Linked DNA regions of Tribolium castaneum. The protein of the gene in region 1 binds, or shares a complex with, the protein of each later gene. Links are inferred from orthologs where the notes say so. Each region holds a gene or a part of one and is shown in the gene's direction. Other genes may lie near its edges.

What was found. The genes of interacting proteins can lie anywhere in the genome.
Region 2: mrn (region 1) and Polr2C share a complex: the UniProt entries of both Homo sapiens proteins name them as parts of the TBP-based Pol II pre-initiation complex. The link is inferred for Tribolium castaneum from reciprocal best matches to the Homo sapiens genes GTF2H4 and POLR2C.

What each region holds. Positions count from the first base shown.
Region 1 is NC_087396.1:20,771,861-20,776,042, reverse strand, and holds mrn (general transcription factor IIH subunit 4), read left to right. Parts: upstream 1-1,567; 5' UTR 1,568-1,690; intron 1,691-1,716; exon of another isoform or gene 1,717-1,747; 5' UTR 1,748-1,767; coding exon 1,768-1,919; intron 1,920-1,964; coding exon 1,965-2,069; intron 2,070-2,118; coding exon 2,119-2,250; intron 2,251-2,302; coding exon 2,303-2,488; intron 2,489-2,536; coding exon 2,537-2,717; intron 2,718-2,774; coding exon 2,775-2,858; intron 2,859-2,950; coding exon 2,951-3,144; intron 3,145-3,195; coding exon 3,196-3,436; intron 3,437-3,480; coding exon 3,481-3,624; 3' UTR 3,625-3,651; downstream 3,652-4,182. Other genes in the region: G protein pathway suppressor 2, read left to right, coding at 3,956-4,182. UniProt on the Homo sapiens protein: Component of the general transcription and DNA repair factor IIH (TFIIH) core complex, which is involved in general and transcription-coupled nucleotide excision repair (NER) of damaged DNA and, when complexed to CAK, in RNA transcription by RNA polymerase II.
Region 2 is NC_087398.1:8,331,949-8,335,091, reverse strand, and holds Polr2C (DNA-directed RNA polymerase II subunit RPB3), read left to right. Parts: upstream 1-1,531; 5' UTR 1,532-1,587; coding exon 1,588-1,673; intron 1,674-1,718; coding exon 1,719-1,890; intron 1,891-1,938; coding exon 1,939-2,326; intron 2,327-2,373; coding exon 2,374-2,552; 3' UTR 2,553-2,584; downstream 2,585-3,143. Other genes in the region: uncharacterized protein LOC103314918, read right to left, coding at 1-735, 781-942, 990-1,217, 1,282-1,329; uncharacterized protein LOC103314913, read left to right, coding at 2,655-2,930, 2,976-3,143. UniProt on the Homo sapiens protein: Core component of RNA polymerase II (Pol II), a DNA-dependent RNA polymerase which synthesizes mRNA precursors and many functional non-coding RNAs using the four ribonucleoside triphosphates as substrates.

The sequences.
Region 1 (4,182 bases):
CCAGATACTTATCACAAGGTCGCTGCCAAGAAAGAGATAAGCATTATAATTATTATAAAAAATAATAATTACAAATACAGAATTTCGGACGAATTGTAATTTGATTGACATAAAAGTGCAAAACTGGCTTCAACTGGCTTTTTTATGTCTTACAAAATTAACTTTCCATTTTTGTCGACGCATTTAACCCATTCCACATGAAAGCCCATTAAATACTCTACCTTTCCTGAAAATTTCATCCCTCTAAAAGTTTGGGAAGACATCCAACCCTTAGTTTGAAATATGTCAACATTTTATTAATAATATTAAATATTTTTTTAGTACTATTTCTTTTTGTCGACGCATTTAACCCATTCCACATGAAAGCCCATTAAATACTCTACCTTTCCTTAAAATTTCATCCCTCTAAAAGTTTGGGAAGACATCCAACCCTTAGTTTGAAATATGTCAACATTTTATTAATAATATTAAATATTTTTTTCTAGTACTATTTCTTTTTGTCGACGCATTTAACCCATTCCACATGAAAGCCCATTAAATACTCTACCTTTCCTGAAAATTTCATCCCTCTAAAAGTTTGGGAAGACATCCAACCCTTAGTTTGAAATATGTCAACATTTTATTAATAATATTAAATATTTTTTTCTAGTACTATTTCTTTTTGTCGACGCATTTAACCCATTCCACATGAAAGCCCATTAAATACTCTACCTTTCCTGAAAATTTCAACCCTCTAAAAGTTTAAGAAGACATCTAACCCTTAGTTTGAAATATGTCAACATTTTATTAATAATATTAAATATTTTTTTTAGTACTATTTCTTTTTGTCGACGCATTTAACCCATTCCACATGAAAGCCCATTAAATACTCTACCTTTCCTGAAAATTTCAACCCTCTAAAAGTTTGGGAAGACATCCAACCCTTAGTTTGAAATATGTCAACATTTTATTAATAATATTAAATATTTTTTTCTAGTACTATTTCTTTTTGTCGACGCATTTAACCCATTCCACATGAAAGCCCATTAAATACCTACCTTTCTTGAAAATTTCAATCCTCTAAAAGTTTGGGAAGACATCTAACCCTCTGTTTGAATTAGTATGTCGTTCTATTAACTTTTTTTTTCAAATAATGTTTTTGAAGAAGAAATTAACGAATAATTATCTTATTTAGGTGGAATCTGCCCCCTAAATAATTGGGTAGCATGCCCTCCTCGTTTTTGTTTTGCCTTTATTAGGCGGTTTCACCTTTTTGTGTCAACTAGTAAACTATCTACATCCCCCATTGCTTTCAAAGATACAACAAGTTTGAAATTGCATTTACTTTATTTTTTTTAATAACAATACACTTGAATTTTAAAAGAAAATGAGTAAATAATTTATTTTCTTATAATTTGTGAGAAACGTAGCAACGTCGCAAAGTGCTGAAAACGCACATCCGTGATTTGACTGGTCCGCTGGAAATTTCATGGTGCTAGCTCTTTCCAAAGTGCTATCGTCACCGTAATATTTTTGACCAACCCTGCCACCCAAATTCCCCAACGTTTGAATAATTAAAAAAACATAGCCAAAATATTTTATGCCCAAAAACTTGGCATTTCGAAGCAGAGCGAAAACCAAGTTTTTTCTACACTTATTAAGACGAAGCGAGTGGTTAATTAAATAACAACTCCTTCGGAGGAAAAGTTGGGTTAGCTTTAAATCTGACAATTGCGTTGACAGTAGTTACCCTAACCCTAATTTTAAGTTTGCAAGGGGGCTGTTTAAATGGCAGACGCCGAGCCCGCGCAACCCAGCTCGCTTTTTTTGAAACCAACAAACTTAGAATGTAAAAACTTGTACGACTACTTAAAAACGCGCTCTTCGGCAACGTTGGAAAAACTCTACAACCATCCAACGATTTGTTTGGCCGTTTACCGGTAAAAACCCACTTTAAAATTCCAAATTTCGATTGACGATTTTAGAGAATTGCCAGAACTGGCACGCCAGTACGTGATTCGAATTTTGTTCGTTGAACAGCCGGTGCCCCAGGCAGTTGTGGCGTCATGGGGGGCTCAGGCCTTTTCCAAGTGAGTGTTTAAATGCGCTTGTACACACGAAAAGGGGGGTTATTTGTAGAGAGCACGTTTATGTGAGTAAGGTTTTGAGCGAATTGTCGGTATGGCAGGAGGCTGCGATTCCAGGGGGGCTCCTAGGTTGGATCCTTTCAGTTACGTTTAAAAAGAATTTGAAAATTGCCTTATTAGGGGGGTGAGAGTGTAATTAGTGTGATTATTGCAATGACTGCGTGATTTATCCCAAGGGGCAAACCTTGGAGCATGTCTTCGGCTTTAGAAGTTGACAGTAAGGCAAGAGATGTGTCTTTTTTGGACGCTTATTCGCTCGAACGGTGGGAATGTGTGTTACATTACATGGTGGGGTCGCAACAACAAGAGGGAATTTCTGCGGATGCTGTCAGAATTTTACTACACGCTGGGCTTATGAAAAGGTTGAATTTCTCCAAAATTGACTCGTTATCTTATTTATATTTATGTAGAGACGAGGAAGATGGCAGTCCTGTTATAACACGTCAAGGCTTCCAGTTTTTACTCTTAGATAGGCAAGCACAAGTTTGGCATTTTTTACTCCAATATCTCGACACAGTTGAGCAAAGAGGATTAAGTCTGGTTGAATGTTTAACGTTTTTATTCCAACTCTCATTTAGTACACTTGGAAAAGTATGTCATAACTCATAACACTTGGCGTTTTTTTTTAATAGCAACATTTTTTTGTAGGATTATAGCACTGAAGGCATGAGTCCCGGCCTTTTAATTTTTCTCCAACACTTGAGAGAATTCGGATTAGTGTATCAAAGAAAAGTAGGTCTTGTTTTCGTTACCATGGTTACCAAATTTTTTTTTCTGGACGTCACATTCCACAGCACCCATGATTAATGTAATTAATTTTGTAGCGCAAAGCAGGCCGTTTTTACCCGACCAGATTGGCCTTAAATATTACGTGTAGCCAAGGCCCCGAAACTCGAATTTTGGAGGAAGACACTCCAAAAGGTTACATAATTGTAGAGACAAACTACAGGGTTTATGCTTACACGGATTCTAATCTTCAAGTTGCTTTAATTGGTCTTTTCACAGAACTGATGTATAGGTGGGTCACAAAATAAATAAAAAAATGTTATGACTATCGGACTTTTCCCAGGTTTCCGAACCTTGTAGTGGGCGTAATAACACGTGATTCCATAAGACAGGCTTTGAAAGGGGGAATCACAGCCGATCAAATTATCGGGTACCTCAAACAACATGCACATCCTCAAATGTTGGAAGGTGAGGCCAAACATCCTCTACCTCCGACAGTTGTGGATCAAATCAAACTGTGGGAAATTGAGCGGAACAGATTAACGTATTCAGAGGGCGTTTTATACAGCCAATTCCTATCACAGGTATTACAAGAAAAATTGTTACGCGGTTTTAATTTGTGTTTTAGGCTGATTTTAATATACTGAAAGAGTATGCACAGTCTAATGGCCATCTAATTTGGTGTAACAAAGAAAAACGGACTCTAATCATCAATAAATCGGCACATGATGATGTTAAAAAGTTCTGGAAGCGATATTCGAAAGGAAATTAATTTAGATTTAATAAAAACTTTACCACTGATCGTGTTTCATTTAAAATTCCCTCGCGGATGAAACAGTATCGCCAATCTAAACCAATTCTGTTTTCACGCGAAACGGGCGTTTTTCGCTACAAATTCGTATCAAAATGTTGGGAGTTTCGGCCCAAGTGCTTAAACTAAAAAAAACATGTGGAAGCGGGTCAAAAATTTGAGTTTTCGCCCAATTTTGGTTAAAATCTGGCCAATAAATTGTTGGCAATCCTGCCGACAAGTGTCAAACGTCATGTTGACATTGACAGTTCCTGTAAAATAACAATACGAAATAATTCGTAATTTGTGCAAAATGCCTGCCGCTGTGGACAACAGCAAGCCGGATCGGTCCGAGCAGATGTGGAAGGTGCTCAAAGCGCACATTCTGCGTGAGCGCGCTCGCAAAAAGCAAGAACGGGAGGCCGAAGTGGAAGAGGAACGTCTCCGTAAAGAACGCGAAGCTCGCGAGCAACAAGACGTCATGACTTTGGGTGAAACCCGCGAACAGATCTCACAGCTTGAGAGCAAGCTCCAGAAACT
Region 2 (3,143 bases), on another chromosome or scaffold:
CGTTGGGACGTCTTGTACTTTTGAAGCATCAGGACTAATTAAATTAAAATCACCCCCAGTTGGTTTATCATTTAAGAGCCCACTGTCACCACTTTGTGGCAAACTTTCATCCAAATTGGGAGTTTCCGTTTTGATTTTCTTATTTTCGCTCTGATCCGCATAAGCTTCCTCAACAGTTTTATTTTTAGCAGTGCTATTCACATTATTCGGTTTGAAAAAATCGCTATTCGTAATTAATTTAAGCACAGTGACATCCTTATACAACTCATTCTCATCAAATTTATATTTCCCAGGCGCCAGGCCAATGGCATTGCCTAAAACTTTATCAATTTGAACACAATTCTTGTTATCTGTGACAGTCTTAAACAGTGCGCTTTTTAGCAACTGCACGTTATGTAGCAAATTGCTCAATTCTTCGCAAAACTTGACGCCCCTTTGCCCAGCCTTGCATTTTTGGGTGATGTCAAACAAATAATTCCAAACATCGAAATTGTACTGCTGGTAACCCTCGGGTAGAGGCCCATGGTCGGGATTTTTTTTCAAATGTTGAATCATTTTGTTTTTGCCCAAATAAGCCTTGAAGCATTTGGGGCACTTGAACTGGGCTTTCACCACCCGCTTTCTGGTCTGTAATTGAGCAAATTCTATTTTACTGTTCTCCTTCTCCTCAACTCTCTCAAAATCCGTGACTTGTACTTCGCGATCATTAACACTGGGTTGAAATTTTTTGAAATCCTGTGAAACATCACTGATTAACTTCTAAAACACTTGAAAATTTACCTTTTCTATGTGTTTTGGGAGCTTGACTAGACGACCAGAACGAGTCCTGGAAGCTTTAGAAGCCTCGACATTGTCCGTTTTTGATTCGGTATTTGCATCAGTTTGTGGCGCTTCGTGCTTCTTCTTTTTAGGGCGTCCACGTTTTACAAGATTTGGAGCTCGCTAATTAAAAAAATAAATTCAAGGAATAAGAGATAAGTGGTTCTCACAATCAAACTCAGTTCTTGGGGGTACACAATTTTGACGACACATGGTTGTTCCTCGGGGTACATAATTTGGAAACCCAGTGGTTCTTCTTGGGGAACACTCGTGCAAGGTTCTTCAATGATTTCAAGAGGCTTATCCATGGATTCAACTAAGATGTGAGGATTACTCACGGTTTGGGCAATCTGTAGTTGACTATCAACTTGTTCTGCCAAGTGTATGGTTTCGAGGGGCTAGAATAACGTTGCAATATAATACTTTAATCTTACTAATTTATAAATAACAATTAGCACTTACCTCACTAATTTGAACTACATATGGCGTTGTGGGAATGTTATCGGTCATTATTATTGGACACTTGTTAATTTCTCACGATATTTAAACTGTTTTCGCGTTTTTTATTTTTAAATAAAAATTTGCAGAGGTTGACAAATCCTTGACACCACAAAAATTGACAGTTTTGATAGGCACAGGCAACCAGTTACACAAGACAGTGCTGTAAGTTGCCTTTTATAATAAGTTTTGAGGTTCTGTCGTGTTGTTGTCGGTGTTTGTGTTAAAAAAAGTTCAAATCCTGTCTTTTCGTAATTGAAATTTTCTAATATGCCGTACGCAAACCAGCCCTCGGTCCACATAACCGATTTAACCGACGATAATGTGAAATTCTACATTGAAGACACCGATCTGAGGTGAGCAACAATTCTTTAAGGGGGCACTAACTGGCCAATTTTTAGCGTGGCTAACAGCATCAGGCGCGTCCTAATCGCCGAAACGCCAACTTTGGCCATCGATTGGGTCAAGTTGGAGGCGAACTCAACCGTCCTAAGTGACGAATTTTTGGCCCACAGAATAGGCTTGATCCCCCTCATATCAGACGACGTGGTGCAACGTCTCCAATACCCAAGAGTTAGTCGTTTAATTTGATCTATTTCACATCTAAAATGCAATTTCCAGGACTGCATTTGCACCGATTTTTGTCATGAATGCAGTGTTGAATTCACCCTTGATGTGAAATGCACTGACGACCACACGCGGCACGTTACCACCGCAGATTTAAAATCGAGCGATCCTAGAGTTATTCCGGCCACTTCCAAACACAGGGACGATGAATCGTCAGAGTATGGCGACACTGACGAAATTCTGATCATCAAGTTGCGGAAAGGGCAAGAGTTGAAGGTTAAAGCTTACGCTAAAAAGGGGTTCGGTAAGGAACACGCCAAGTGGAACCCCACGGCGGGGGTGGCCTTCGAGTACGACCCCGATAATGCTATGAGACACACGCTTTTTCCTAAGCCAGACGAATGGCCCAAGAGCGAATACAGCGAACTGGATGAGGATCAATGTAAATATTTTACTTGTTAGTTGTTTTGTTTGACCATAATGTTCCAGACGAGGCTGATTTTAACTGGGAATTGAAACCAAACAAGTTTTATTTCAATGTGGAAGCTGCAGGAGCCCTAAAACCCGAAAATATCGTCATAATGGGGGTGGCAATGCTGAAGGATAAATTGTCCAATTTGCAGACTCAGCTTAATCATGAAGTACAGAACGATGCCCTTGCTATTTAATTATAACGTTAATAAAGCCGATAATTTTTAAATTAGTGTTTTGTTTGAACTGTCACTTTTTACAATTACTGAAACAGTCAGTTCCTTCTTTCTGTTGAAAAAATGAACGAGCACGACGACAGAATTAAGTTGGACATCTTTAGAAGCAAAACCACTTATCAGAATGACTACAAAAAATTCCCACTTGAGCCTCGTAAAGACACTTTGAATTGTCAAGCAAAATTTTTGGACAAAAAAGACAAGCCCCCGAGTGAGTATGTCCCTAAAGACAATGAAACTTTTGCGGCCCGACGCCCCGACGTCTACATCCCGTTTAACTTACTTTGGAGACGCAAAGAGATCACAGGCACGGACCCCCATGTACCTTTCGAAACCCCCGTATGTACAAAAATACAGTCAACAAAATAAAAAGATACAATTAAGGTAATTCCCGAGAATGCAGCCAAAGAAAACGTAATCAAGACAAGACCAAGGGTTTACATGTCCCCAGCTGTGAGTATCGACGACGTTTCAGACCCCGAAATGCGCAACTTGTTGCTGGCCCACATGTACACCTCAGAGTGGACGAAAGCCATCCAGGAATCGTCCGTC